Caenorhabditis elegans: one gene and its partner. The protein of the gene in region 1 interacts with the protein of each later gene in a pairwise test. Each region holds a gene or a part of one and is shown on either strand. Other genes may lie near its edges. The genes, in order: nhr-114 and gpa-13.

Evidence for each region.
Region 2: the proteins of nhr-114 (region 1) and gpa-13 interact in binary tests that used the Caenorhabditis elegans proteins (3 or more experiments, as listed by UniProt).

What each region holds. Positions count from the first base shown.
Region 1 is NC_003283.11:4,185,207-4,190,646, forward strand, and holds nhr-114 (Nuclear hormone receptor 114), read left to right. Parts: upstream 1-1,996; 5' UTR 1,997-2,002; coding exon 2,003-2,186; intron 2,187-2,400; coding exon 2,401-2,603; intron 2,604-2,801; coding exon 2,802-3,140; intron 3,141-3,195; coding exon 3,196-3,326; intron 3,327-3,402; coding exon 3,403-3,524; intron 3,525-3,576; coding exon 3,577-3,691; exon of another isoform or gene 3,692-3,804; intron 3,805-4,495; coding exon 4,496-4,658; 3' UTR 4,659-4,798; downstream 4,799-5,440. Other genes in the region: Y45G5AM.9 (Aftiphilin clathrin-binding box domain-containing protein), read right to left, coding at 4,810-4,941. UniProt on the Caenorhabditis elegans protein: Probable transcription factor which may have a role in detoxifying dietary metabolites arising from bacterial tryptophan metabolism.
Region 2 is NC_003283.11:12,751,942-12,756,874, forward strand, and holds gpa-13 (Guanine nucleotide-binding protein alpha-13 subunit), read right to left. Parts: upstream 2,999-4,933; 5' UTR 2,953-2,998; coding exon 2,923-2,952; intron 2,850-2,922; coding exon 2,688-2,849; intron 2,600-2,687; coding exon 2,506-2,599; intron 2,453-2,505; coding exon 2,268-2,452; intron 1,891-2,267; coding exon 1,736-1,890; intron 1,591-1,735; coding exon 1,462-1,590; intron 1,407-1,461; coding exon 1,277-1,406; intron 1,231-1,276; coding exon 1,077-1,230; intron 991-1,076; coding exon 821-990; 3' UTR 662-820; downstream 1-661. Other genes in the region: C15C8.8 (uncharacterized protein), read right to left, coding at 1-62, 341-457. UniProt on the Caenorhabditis elegans protein: Guanine nucleotide-binding proteins (G proteins) are involved as modulators or transducers in various transmembrane signaling systems.

The DNA of each region.
Region 1 (5,440 bases):
CATCTCAACTGATTTCGCATGGTTAAGAGTGTGCTGACGTCACAATTTTTCTGGGAAAAAAATCGCGCATTTTTTGTAGATCAAACCGCAATGAGACTTTCTGACACTACGTGAAGTTGGATTTTTGCAATCTTCCGCGATTTTTTTTTCATTTTGTTTGTGATTTTTTAAAGAAATTTAGGACAATTTTGGATTTTTGCAAAAAGTCGCTTTGAAGTCTGAATAAAAGCATTTTCGGCGTATCCTGCGCGCATGGGTCTCGCCACGCTGACATCGAAAAAAAAAATTCTGAGAATGCTGCGTATTGTGCAACACATTTGCCGCGCAAAATATCTCGCAGCGAAAAAGAAAACTACAGTAATCGTTTAAATGGCTACTGTAGTGCTTTTGTGTCGATTTACGGGAGATCGATTCTTTAATTAAATTCTTCTTTTCAAATATTACCGGTACAGAGAGTGTAGATAGTTGAATGGACACAGACATTCCGGAACCCAAGGGGCGGGGCGCGGGAAGAGACGATTTTTGTCGATTTACGGAGTGTTTTTATTCACAAACTCTCCGTAAATCCATACAAATCGGCTCTTCCCGCAACCTTGGGTTCCGGAATATCTGTGTCCATTCAACTTTCCTCATTCTCTGGACCGGCAATATTCGAAAAGAAGAATTCATTTCAAAAATCGAGCTCGTAAATCGACACAGAAGCACTACAGAAGTCATTTAAACGATTACTGTAGTCTTCTTTTTCGCTACGAGATGTTTTGCGCGTCAAATATGTTATGCAATACGCATTCTCAGAATTTTTTGTACAAATATTGATGTTTTTATTTTAATCATAAGATGGTTAAATTTACCAACAACTAATTCTTAAATTGATTAGCACTTATCAGTGTCTTATCAGCAATCAAATGACCAAAACATCTAATAGGACGAATTTTCGCCTATTTCTCAGCAACTAACAATGCAACTTTCTCATTCTTCATGTCTCCTGTATCATAGACAAATTGATTAGCTCACGTAGTGCCAGACGGTCCCATTACGGTTTGATCTACAAAAAATGCGGAAATTTTCGCCCAAAAAAATGTGTGACGTCAGTACGTTTTTAACCATCCGAAAACAGTTGAGAACTCTGCGTTTCTTCTCACCCGCATTTTTTGTAGATCAACGTAGATCAATCCAAAATGAGACACTCTGCCACCACGTGTAGCTTCTTCTTCTGCTGCTGCTGCTACAGTCTGTGTGTACAAAAGTCTTCTCACATAGTAGGTAGGTGCAGACTTCTTTCTTTATCAAATCTTCCCTTCTTCAACATTACATGGCGTGGTTTTCTCGTGGCATTTTCCAAGAGAGGCTCCACCCCCCCCCCCCCCCCCATCGCATGTACTTTGTTCATTGGTCAAGAAGAATCGTATATAACGGGCAGCGATAACGTCCCAAATCTTTGTCGTATGACGACGGGGACGATCGGAAATTGAGAGGAGGAGGGGGTAGTGTGAAAAATACATGAGGACGCGATGAAGCTGCTGGTCAGCAGCAGGCCCCAAGCCACTGTGTTTTATTGCAAGACAGTTCGATCTTCACGTTGATATCAGACATATATAGAATATACATCTCAAGGTCTTCTATTCTCATTTCTTAGGCAGCCTGTTAATATGTTGATAATGAACAATCATTTGACCGCCCGTTTTTCCGAGTCACTTCATCAAGGACTTGATTTCTTTCCAAAAAAACTTCCAAAACCACCCAGCAAATCATTGTTTCAAAAAAAGTTTGCTCAAATGATTAGAAATCAAAAGTTCAAATGTTTTTTTGCAACAGCTGTCCCTAGCCTGTCTCACATCACAGTTCAATTGTTGTAGTTTACCTCTCCTCTTCTCCTTCATTTTATCTCTAAAACGCATCGATTCGGGGGCACTTTGCATTTGTTATCGTGTCTAGTGTCTCTTGGCATTATTCTCGTTGTCACAAAAAAAACCAATACAAACAAGGCGTATTTCAGGTCAAAATGACACCTCAATCGTCTCCGAGCTCGTCTCGTGATCACGTTTGTCTCGTTTGTCAAGATTTCGCTTCTGGCTACCATTATGGTGTCCCGTCATGTGTCGGATGCAAGACATTTTTCCGGCGAACAATTATGAAGAAACAAAAGTACATTTGCCAATTCGAGGGCAATTGTCCAGTTGATAAAAGTGAGTTATTTAGCACACTTGGTGTCAGGCTGTCCCATTTCGGTTTGATCTACAAGAAATGCGGGGATTTTTCGCCCAAAAAATGTGACGTCAGCACGTTCTTAACCATGCGGAATCAGTTCCGCAATTCTCGTAGATCAAAACGAAATGGGACACTCTGACACCACTTGTTAGCAGTAACAAGGAACTTATAAAAAATATTTCAAAAGTTCAGCTATCCGCTGTGCCTGCCGATACTGCCGATTCGAGAAATGTTTGAGCGTGGGAATGGACCGAAACGCCCTCCAACAAAACCGTGACCCTATCGGATACACAAAACGTACCAGGCGTCCAAAAAAAGAGCTGAAGACTACCTCGGACTGTTCAAGTGACGAAGGAGCAAGCACCCCACCATCAGTGTCTCCATTACAGCTATCGGTAATTAATTAGTCCAATTACGGTTTGATCTACAAAAAATGCGAGAATTTTTTTGCCCAAAAAATGTGTGACGTCAGCACGTTCTCAACCATGCAAAATCAGTTGAGAACTCTGCGTCTCTTTTCCCGCATTTTCTATAGATCTACGTAGATCAAGCCGAAATGAGAAACTCTGACACCACGTGATCCCAAATTACAGCCTCCACCAATCTCGCCACTCCTTTTCCAAGCTGCACCACTGAAACCTCGTCGCTGCATCCTACAAACTCTTGCCGAACGCGAAAAGTGTGCAAATGATCTCCGACTCTCCGAATATCTTCCAATCCGATCTCTCCACGAGGCTCTATGCTCAAAGGCTCTGCTGAACGACACGGCTTTTTTGGAAAAGTGGGGACAGCCGAGTGAGAGACATCAGATCTTCGATCTACGATTCGTCAATCACGACGACTACCACTATTGGCACGAGAGAGACTGGTTCTTGTTGACAGAGTATGCCAAAACATTCGATGTTTTTGAGGCGCTCGATTATCAAGATAAGGTTGGAAGAAAACCAGAAACATGTATAACGATTTAATTATTTCAATCCTTTCCAGGCCGAACTTGTTCGCCATGCCGCAATAACAGTCCCAGTCCTGGTTCAAGTCTGGAACTCCCCGGACTACGGACCAGACACAATTGTATTCCCAGATGGTGCCTACTTCGATCGTACTCCAGAGCCAACCCGGTAAGTTGTCGGTCACATATACTCCAAACCGAGCCCCAATTCCCGTCTCGTTCCGCGTTGTGTTCAATCGTTATAGGCCAGCCGGACTCAACAGGAAAAAGTATCAAATGTTGGATCTCGTGCTCAAGCCGTTCCGTGATCTACAGCTCGACGCAACCGAATTTGCAGCGTTCAAAGCGGTAACGTTTCTGAATCCAGGTCCGGGCGGAATCTCAATAAGAGCCAAACTTTCACTTTGATGCGATTCCAGACGCTGACATCTCTCTACCGGCTCGCAAGCTTGTGAACAACGAACGAGTCCGCATCACCAAGCAGTTATACGGCTACATGGCCATGAAAGACGACGTGGACACGGCAATCGAAAGGTTGGTGAAATCACGTTTTTCCTTCCTTTGATGCATTCATCTATTACTCGCTTGTCGATCAAATCAAACATTGATAGATCACAATTTGATGTGTCTTGTTGCGGACTAGCTAAGTAAGCTAAGTTGGAACACTTTGACCAAAATTTCGGTAAATTCTCTAAATTTTGCTAAATTTTCAAATTTTTGGTAAAATGCTAAAATTTTGGTAAATTCTCAACATTTTGGTAAAATGCTAAAATTTTGGAAAAATTCTCACAATTTTGGGAGGCACCACGGAAACGAGAACATGTGAAAAAGGAGAATTACGAAAAGGAGAACACAAAACCACGCCTATTTATCCGTGCCGAGCGCAAGTTTTTGCATAAACTTGTGCAAATTTTTATTTTCAAACGAGACAACGAAGATCCGAACTAACGAATTCGTGTGATAAACAACACGCGATACGTTCTTTCGGAGCTTCGCGTTATCTCGTTTGAAAATAAAAATTTGCACAAGTTTCTGCAAAAACTTGCGCGCGGCATGGAAAAATGGGCGTGGTTTTGTGTTCTCCTTTTCGTAATTCTCCTTTTTCACATGTTCTCCTTTCGGTGGTGCCTCCAAAAGTTTTGGCAATTTATTAAAAAATTGGCAATTTACCAAAATTTTAAGAATTTACCAAAATTTTGAACATTTCCCAAAATTTAGGCAATTTATCAAAAAATTGGCAATTTATTAAAATTTTGAGAATGTACCAAAAGTTCGGCAATTTACCAAAATTTTTAGCCCCCGGCACTGATAGATCACAATTTCATCCCCGTGTTGCAGATTCGCACGATTGGTTCTGATGGGAACGTCCATGTCAAAAATGGCGTGCGAATCGAAAGAGGCCGTGTGGATTGCAGACTTTTTCGAGAATATCGGCTTCTCGGCGTTTGCCCGGCAACTGTTTTTCGGTGATACGACGAGCGTTGTTGCTCACAAATTGTGAAGTGAATAAATTTAAATTTAATAAATTAATTTCCAGAAATATTTACACGCTTGAAAAAAAATCTCAATGCTAATCCTATTTATATACGTTTATTATTATTTTTTTTTTTTGGTATTTTTTTTGCAATAAAGTTTTAACTTTTTTTTCTTACCGCCTGAATTGGTGCAGCAGCAACAACGGCTTCTCCAAAATCTCCCCACTCATCGTCGTCATCGTCTTCTTCTTTCTGTATTTCCGAATTTTGAAATCCCGTAAATTCGTCCTGTGATAATGCAGTCGTCATCTGAAATTACGGGATTTTTGGGGTAAATTTTTGGCAAAATTAGTTCAATTTTTAGAACATTTTTTGACAAAAAAAATTGATTGCAAATTTTAATTTCAAAATGTTGCATTGCTATTTTAAAGTTGATTGAAGGTTTTTGTTCATAATTCAAAGCAGGGGTCGGGGGCAAACGATTTTTCCGGCAAATCGGCAAACTGACAATTTGTCGAAAATGACATTTTCTGGCAAATCGGCGAAATTGCCGGAATTGAAAATTTCCGGCAAATCGGAACACCGGCAATTTGCCGAAAACGAAAAATTCCGGCAAACCGGCAATTTCCCGAAAACGAAAAATTCCGGCAAACCGGCAATTTCCCGAAAACGAAAAATTCCGGCAAATCGGCAAAACCGGCAATTTTCCACAAATCAAAATTTCCGGCAAACCGGCAATTTACCGAAAATGAAAATTTCCGGCAAACCGGCAATTTGCCAAAAATGAAAATTTCCGGCAAACCGGCAA
Region 2 (4,933 bases), 8.6 Mb from region 1:
AGAGCATAGACTGGAGTCCATTTTTTTGGCATTGAGGCAATGGTTCCATTACCGAAAACCCACTGAAATTATTTTTTGAAATTATGTATCCAAGATGTACAGTTCCAAAAATGACTTTTTTTCCGAAACTGTTTTGTCCTTCAATACAAAGAGCTAGCTAAATTTTCCAAAAAGTATTTTTCATAATTTTCAAACAACTAATTCGCATTACACCTGAGCTACAATTTAACTGATAAAACAGGATTCTGTGAAGTTTTTTAAAAGTTTTGAAGAAATGTTCTTGTTATGAGTTCTAATATTTCTATTTTTTCAATGTTACACATTATTGGATTTTTCATACCTGACAAGTAGATAGTTTTGGTGAAGCAGCAGCAGCATTCATTCTTCTTGGTTTCTTTTCTACTGGCACTACAGCTTCAGTGAAAAAAAGAATGACAATAGAAGTTAATGATATCATTATTCGCAATACTAGGAACTGCTGATTTCTTTTTAGCAAAAATAATTTTCACTTAAATAAACTTAATGTTAAAGAAGATACCATCGGCATTTACAAAGTGTGTATAATTAAAAGGCGCAGAGAGATATTAAGATTTAGACCGGTATGTTATTAGCATATCTAATCAATCGTCTTTCTTTTTTCAAGAAACACTGTGAAAAACCAAAGAATAAATCTTTCTCTTTCACTTTTTTGCAACGTTTTCCTTTCGTTTATTGGGTGACAACATAAGTGTTGACAAGTGTGGGAATTAAATAAAATTACATGTGATGAATTGATTGGATTTCAATTAAAAATATAAATTAAATATTATACAAACAGTAGTTATTTCTTTCTTTTTGCAATATCTTTAAACACAGTTGATAACAATTCGGCCATCATTTGTGTGTCAATTGCAATACATCGATAGACACGGTATAGGGACCTGTCACGTTTACCAAGAGCTTCGCATGCAAGATTTTCCATAAAGTCTATTGCATCATCTTGATCACCACCTGAAACAGAAGGTAAGGCACTTATATAAATAATTTAACTTGATTTCAACACCAATTTTATATGAGACTCTCCGTAATATCCTTACCTTTAAAATCCGGTTTATACTTTGATAATGGAATGACGCTGAGTTTTTCACAGAAAACATCAATTTCATTCAAAAACAAATAGATTGGAGTTGTTGCAAACGCTGGGTCTTCACTGATTGATTGCAACAAATTCAGAGCGTCATCTAATCGATTCTAAAATTAATAATTTATAGATTCCTCTTACGAAGTTTGAAATTACCGTAACCATATCCTCGCTCATCACTTGATCATATTCAGAAATTGCGATGCAAAAGAATATTGCATCAATCCCTTCATATTGTAAAGCCCACTTCCGTCTATCAATTTTCTGTCCACCAATATCAAATAATCTGTAACTTTTTTTTTGATTTCCGCTTCAATTCCTCAAAGGAAAATGTGACTCACTGAAAAGATTGATTACAAGCAGTAAATATGACATTTTGAACACCACAAGTTGGAACATAAGCCATGATGAGATCTCTTTCAGACGGCTTATAATCCACCATATTTATCTTATCGATATTGTTAAGAAAACTGCAATTAAAAATGGTAATCTTCTGGATGAAAAGGATTAGTTTCAAAAAGTCTGGAAATTATTCTTGCACTTGTGAAAAGCGCAAAATTTTGCTCTTATGATCATAAATGTTCTGAATTCGAAAGACAGGGAAATGCAACTCACTAAGATGCTGAATCATTCAAATTAAATTGACTCCGTCGAGCGTAAAGTTTTTGCATAGATTTGTCATTCCAAATGTGTTTTATCTTTTCAGCCAAATCTTTTGAGAATAAACCATAATGACCATGTTCATCAGCTATTATGGATTGAGCACGACCCTGCAAATATATAGATGAGTTTTTCGTAATTTCTTTTAGGTTTCAATATTATAGTTCAAGTTCCCTCATTTTTAGAAATTGATAAACGGTCACGAAGACCAACTTATTTACCAATTTACGAAAAAAAAAGCTTCGATGTACCGTATTTTTCCTATTATATTTGCGCCCTCCTTTGTTTTACTTTAACGGCTCATATCTTGGTTGTTTTAAGTCTTATCCACAAAAAAATTACTGTGAAAATGTAGAAAAATATTTTTCAGGTATTATGTCAGTTCACAATTTTTTGTTAAAACAAAATCCAACTGAGATATGATCTGTCAAAGTAGAATAATACTGAATATAAATTTAATTCCAAATTCTTTTTAAAATAATAATACCATATTGATTGGGTCTGCAAATTGAATATCGGACATTCTCATGGCACGACATAACGCTTTGATACTTTTGAAAATATTGTGATAGATGAATGCACGTCGATGAAAATATTCAGACTCTGTGAAATGTTGTTTATAGAGCAACCGGACTTGCTCCAAAACGGTTGTTTTTCCGCTTTCTGCGGATCCTGAAATGAATAGAATTGGATTAAAATGGAATTGAAAATGAATACAAATTTACCGAGAAGAAGTAGTCTAATATGGCTGTATGGATCTTCCGATTTCTGAGAAGCGGGAGTAATTGAACGAGATGCACGAATTTCGGGAACTTGGAGCTGAAAATAGACATGAATTGAATTGAGGTGATCTCAAAAAATTGATTATAATAACGGTGGCCTCCTATAATTGCTTCAAAATACATACCGCAACTTGTGGAGAAATAGATGGTGGTGGAACAGGTGTAGATTCCTTTTTTTCAACAACTTCTTTTTCCGCTGAATGCTCAATTGGCTCAATGTTCTCTTCTTTTCCTATCACATCAGGTTCCGGTATTGGTTTGTCACAAGCAGCCGGAACATCAGACACCTGAACCAATTAAGTTTTGACAACAACAAAAAAAAACAAAAAAAGTTAAATTACTAAAATCCAAAAAGCTTACCTTACTTTGAGAAGAAAAGTTGCAACCCATTGCAATTGCTCACCACATTTCCTAAACTGATAAAGCTGAAAATTGGCATTCATTCTATTACAATAATTTATTTTTTTTTAACAAAAAAAAAACGAATTCTGATGAAAAAGAAAAACGAAGAAGTGCCTGAAAAAAGATGAATAGGAACGCAATTCCACCCGATTTCCTTCCTTTCATCGTCGCGGATATATTTTTCATACAAATGGAAAAGAGCAGAAAAATAAAAGAAAGAGAGTCAGTCAGTAAGCCAAGGAATATAATACCTGGTCGATTGGATGAAATCCACGTACTTTGAGGAAATAAAAACCACTACCGCTTTTGGTTTTTTCAGAAACTTTAGTTGAATTGGGAAGTGTGTAAAAAGAGATCGGTTGGATCAGAAAATATTATTCGTTTCAAGATTACATACAATCCAAACTTAGTCAACATACGTATGAAAAATCAAACCACGAAATATTTTTCCATGTCATTTCATACATGAATGACTGCAAGAATACTAATGTCTTAAAAGTGAATATTTTTTAGTCTTTTTCAAACTTAGTTTATCAAAAATATTTGTAAAAGTTACAAATTTTTTCAATAACGCGACAAGTACAGTTTCCCTCCTTTCATGTTTATTCTTGGACAAAAAAAACTTCCCCAAGTTTGGTTATGATTATGAACGCGTGCAAGTTTTCTGAGTTTGTCTAGTTGTATAAATTTGCTTTAACTGCAAACCAGGGGTGTGCGGCAAATCTCAAAATTTGCGGAGCTCGGCAAATTCGGCAAATCTCTTTTTTCAATATTTGCCGAGCACGGCAAATTCGGCAAATTTGCCGAGCTCGGCAAACGGCAAATTCGGCAAATTCGGCAAATTTGCCGCACACCCCTGCTGCAAACCACCAATTATCGCTTCTTAATTGAATTCCTATTATAATTAAAATTTAAATTCAAGCCAAGTGGCCAACAAACCTAGAAATTAATGACGAATTCAGCTTCACTGACAGCTGATCTCAGTTTGAAATTATTTTTACTAAGCTTCAGAAAGATACCATACAATTGAGTTATTTTTGAACACCATTGTTGAACGTACTGCTAAAATCTGTGCTCAAATACATATGTGTATTTAAGCAATATCATAAGCAATATCAGAATTCGTTCAGTTAGTATTAATTGCAGAGATTTGAGTTTAAAAATCTAAAATCTAAAATATCGGGTATATAGTTCTTCCATTCCGCCCATATTTAAATACAAAATTTTGTAAGGGATTATCTGTATACGGTAGTTCTCCTTTGCGAAGATACATATTTTGCAGTCACTGCTTCAAATTTTCATTCCAATCACACTTTAGAATAAAATGTTTCTATAAGCAAATGACATGTTTTATAAAGTCAATAAATATTTAATGATATGGTTTGAAAATTGACATGAGAGACGTAGAACGGAGTGTGAGCTGAAAAGAAAAAAGTGAAAAAGCATAGCACCCCAGTGGGCTCACTCTATCACATAAATCAATGTGGCTCGTGAGAAAGAAAACGAGATTAGATGTCGTCGTCTCAATGGAAGAAATTGGAGGAAAAAGGTTGACGAATTCAGAAGGTATCTTTAGAGATTAGATTAATTCACAAGCAGTTGGGTTAGATTTTACAAGATTAATTTCTGTGAGTCAGTATATGAAAAATTTGAGACGAGATGGTTAATCCTCCCGAAGGAACTTGTTAAATTTTGATGCTTGATATGAATTTTTTTAATAATTCAAATCAAAACGAGTATCGTATATCGTATATCGTAGATTAGAACATGAAAACGCCACTTTTTATTGGCACCTGTAAATAAACGGTGCCAACCTGAAAAGTCTAAAACATCTGCCAAATATTTCCAATGAAGCTTTCCAACTAGACGTTTAGATTAGTCAGAATTGTTGATCAAACTTTTATATTATTTGATCCAATTTGTTTAGATCCCTGCAAATTATATCTAAATGCAATCAAAAGAGGAAATT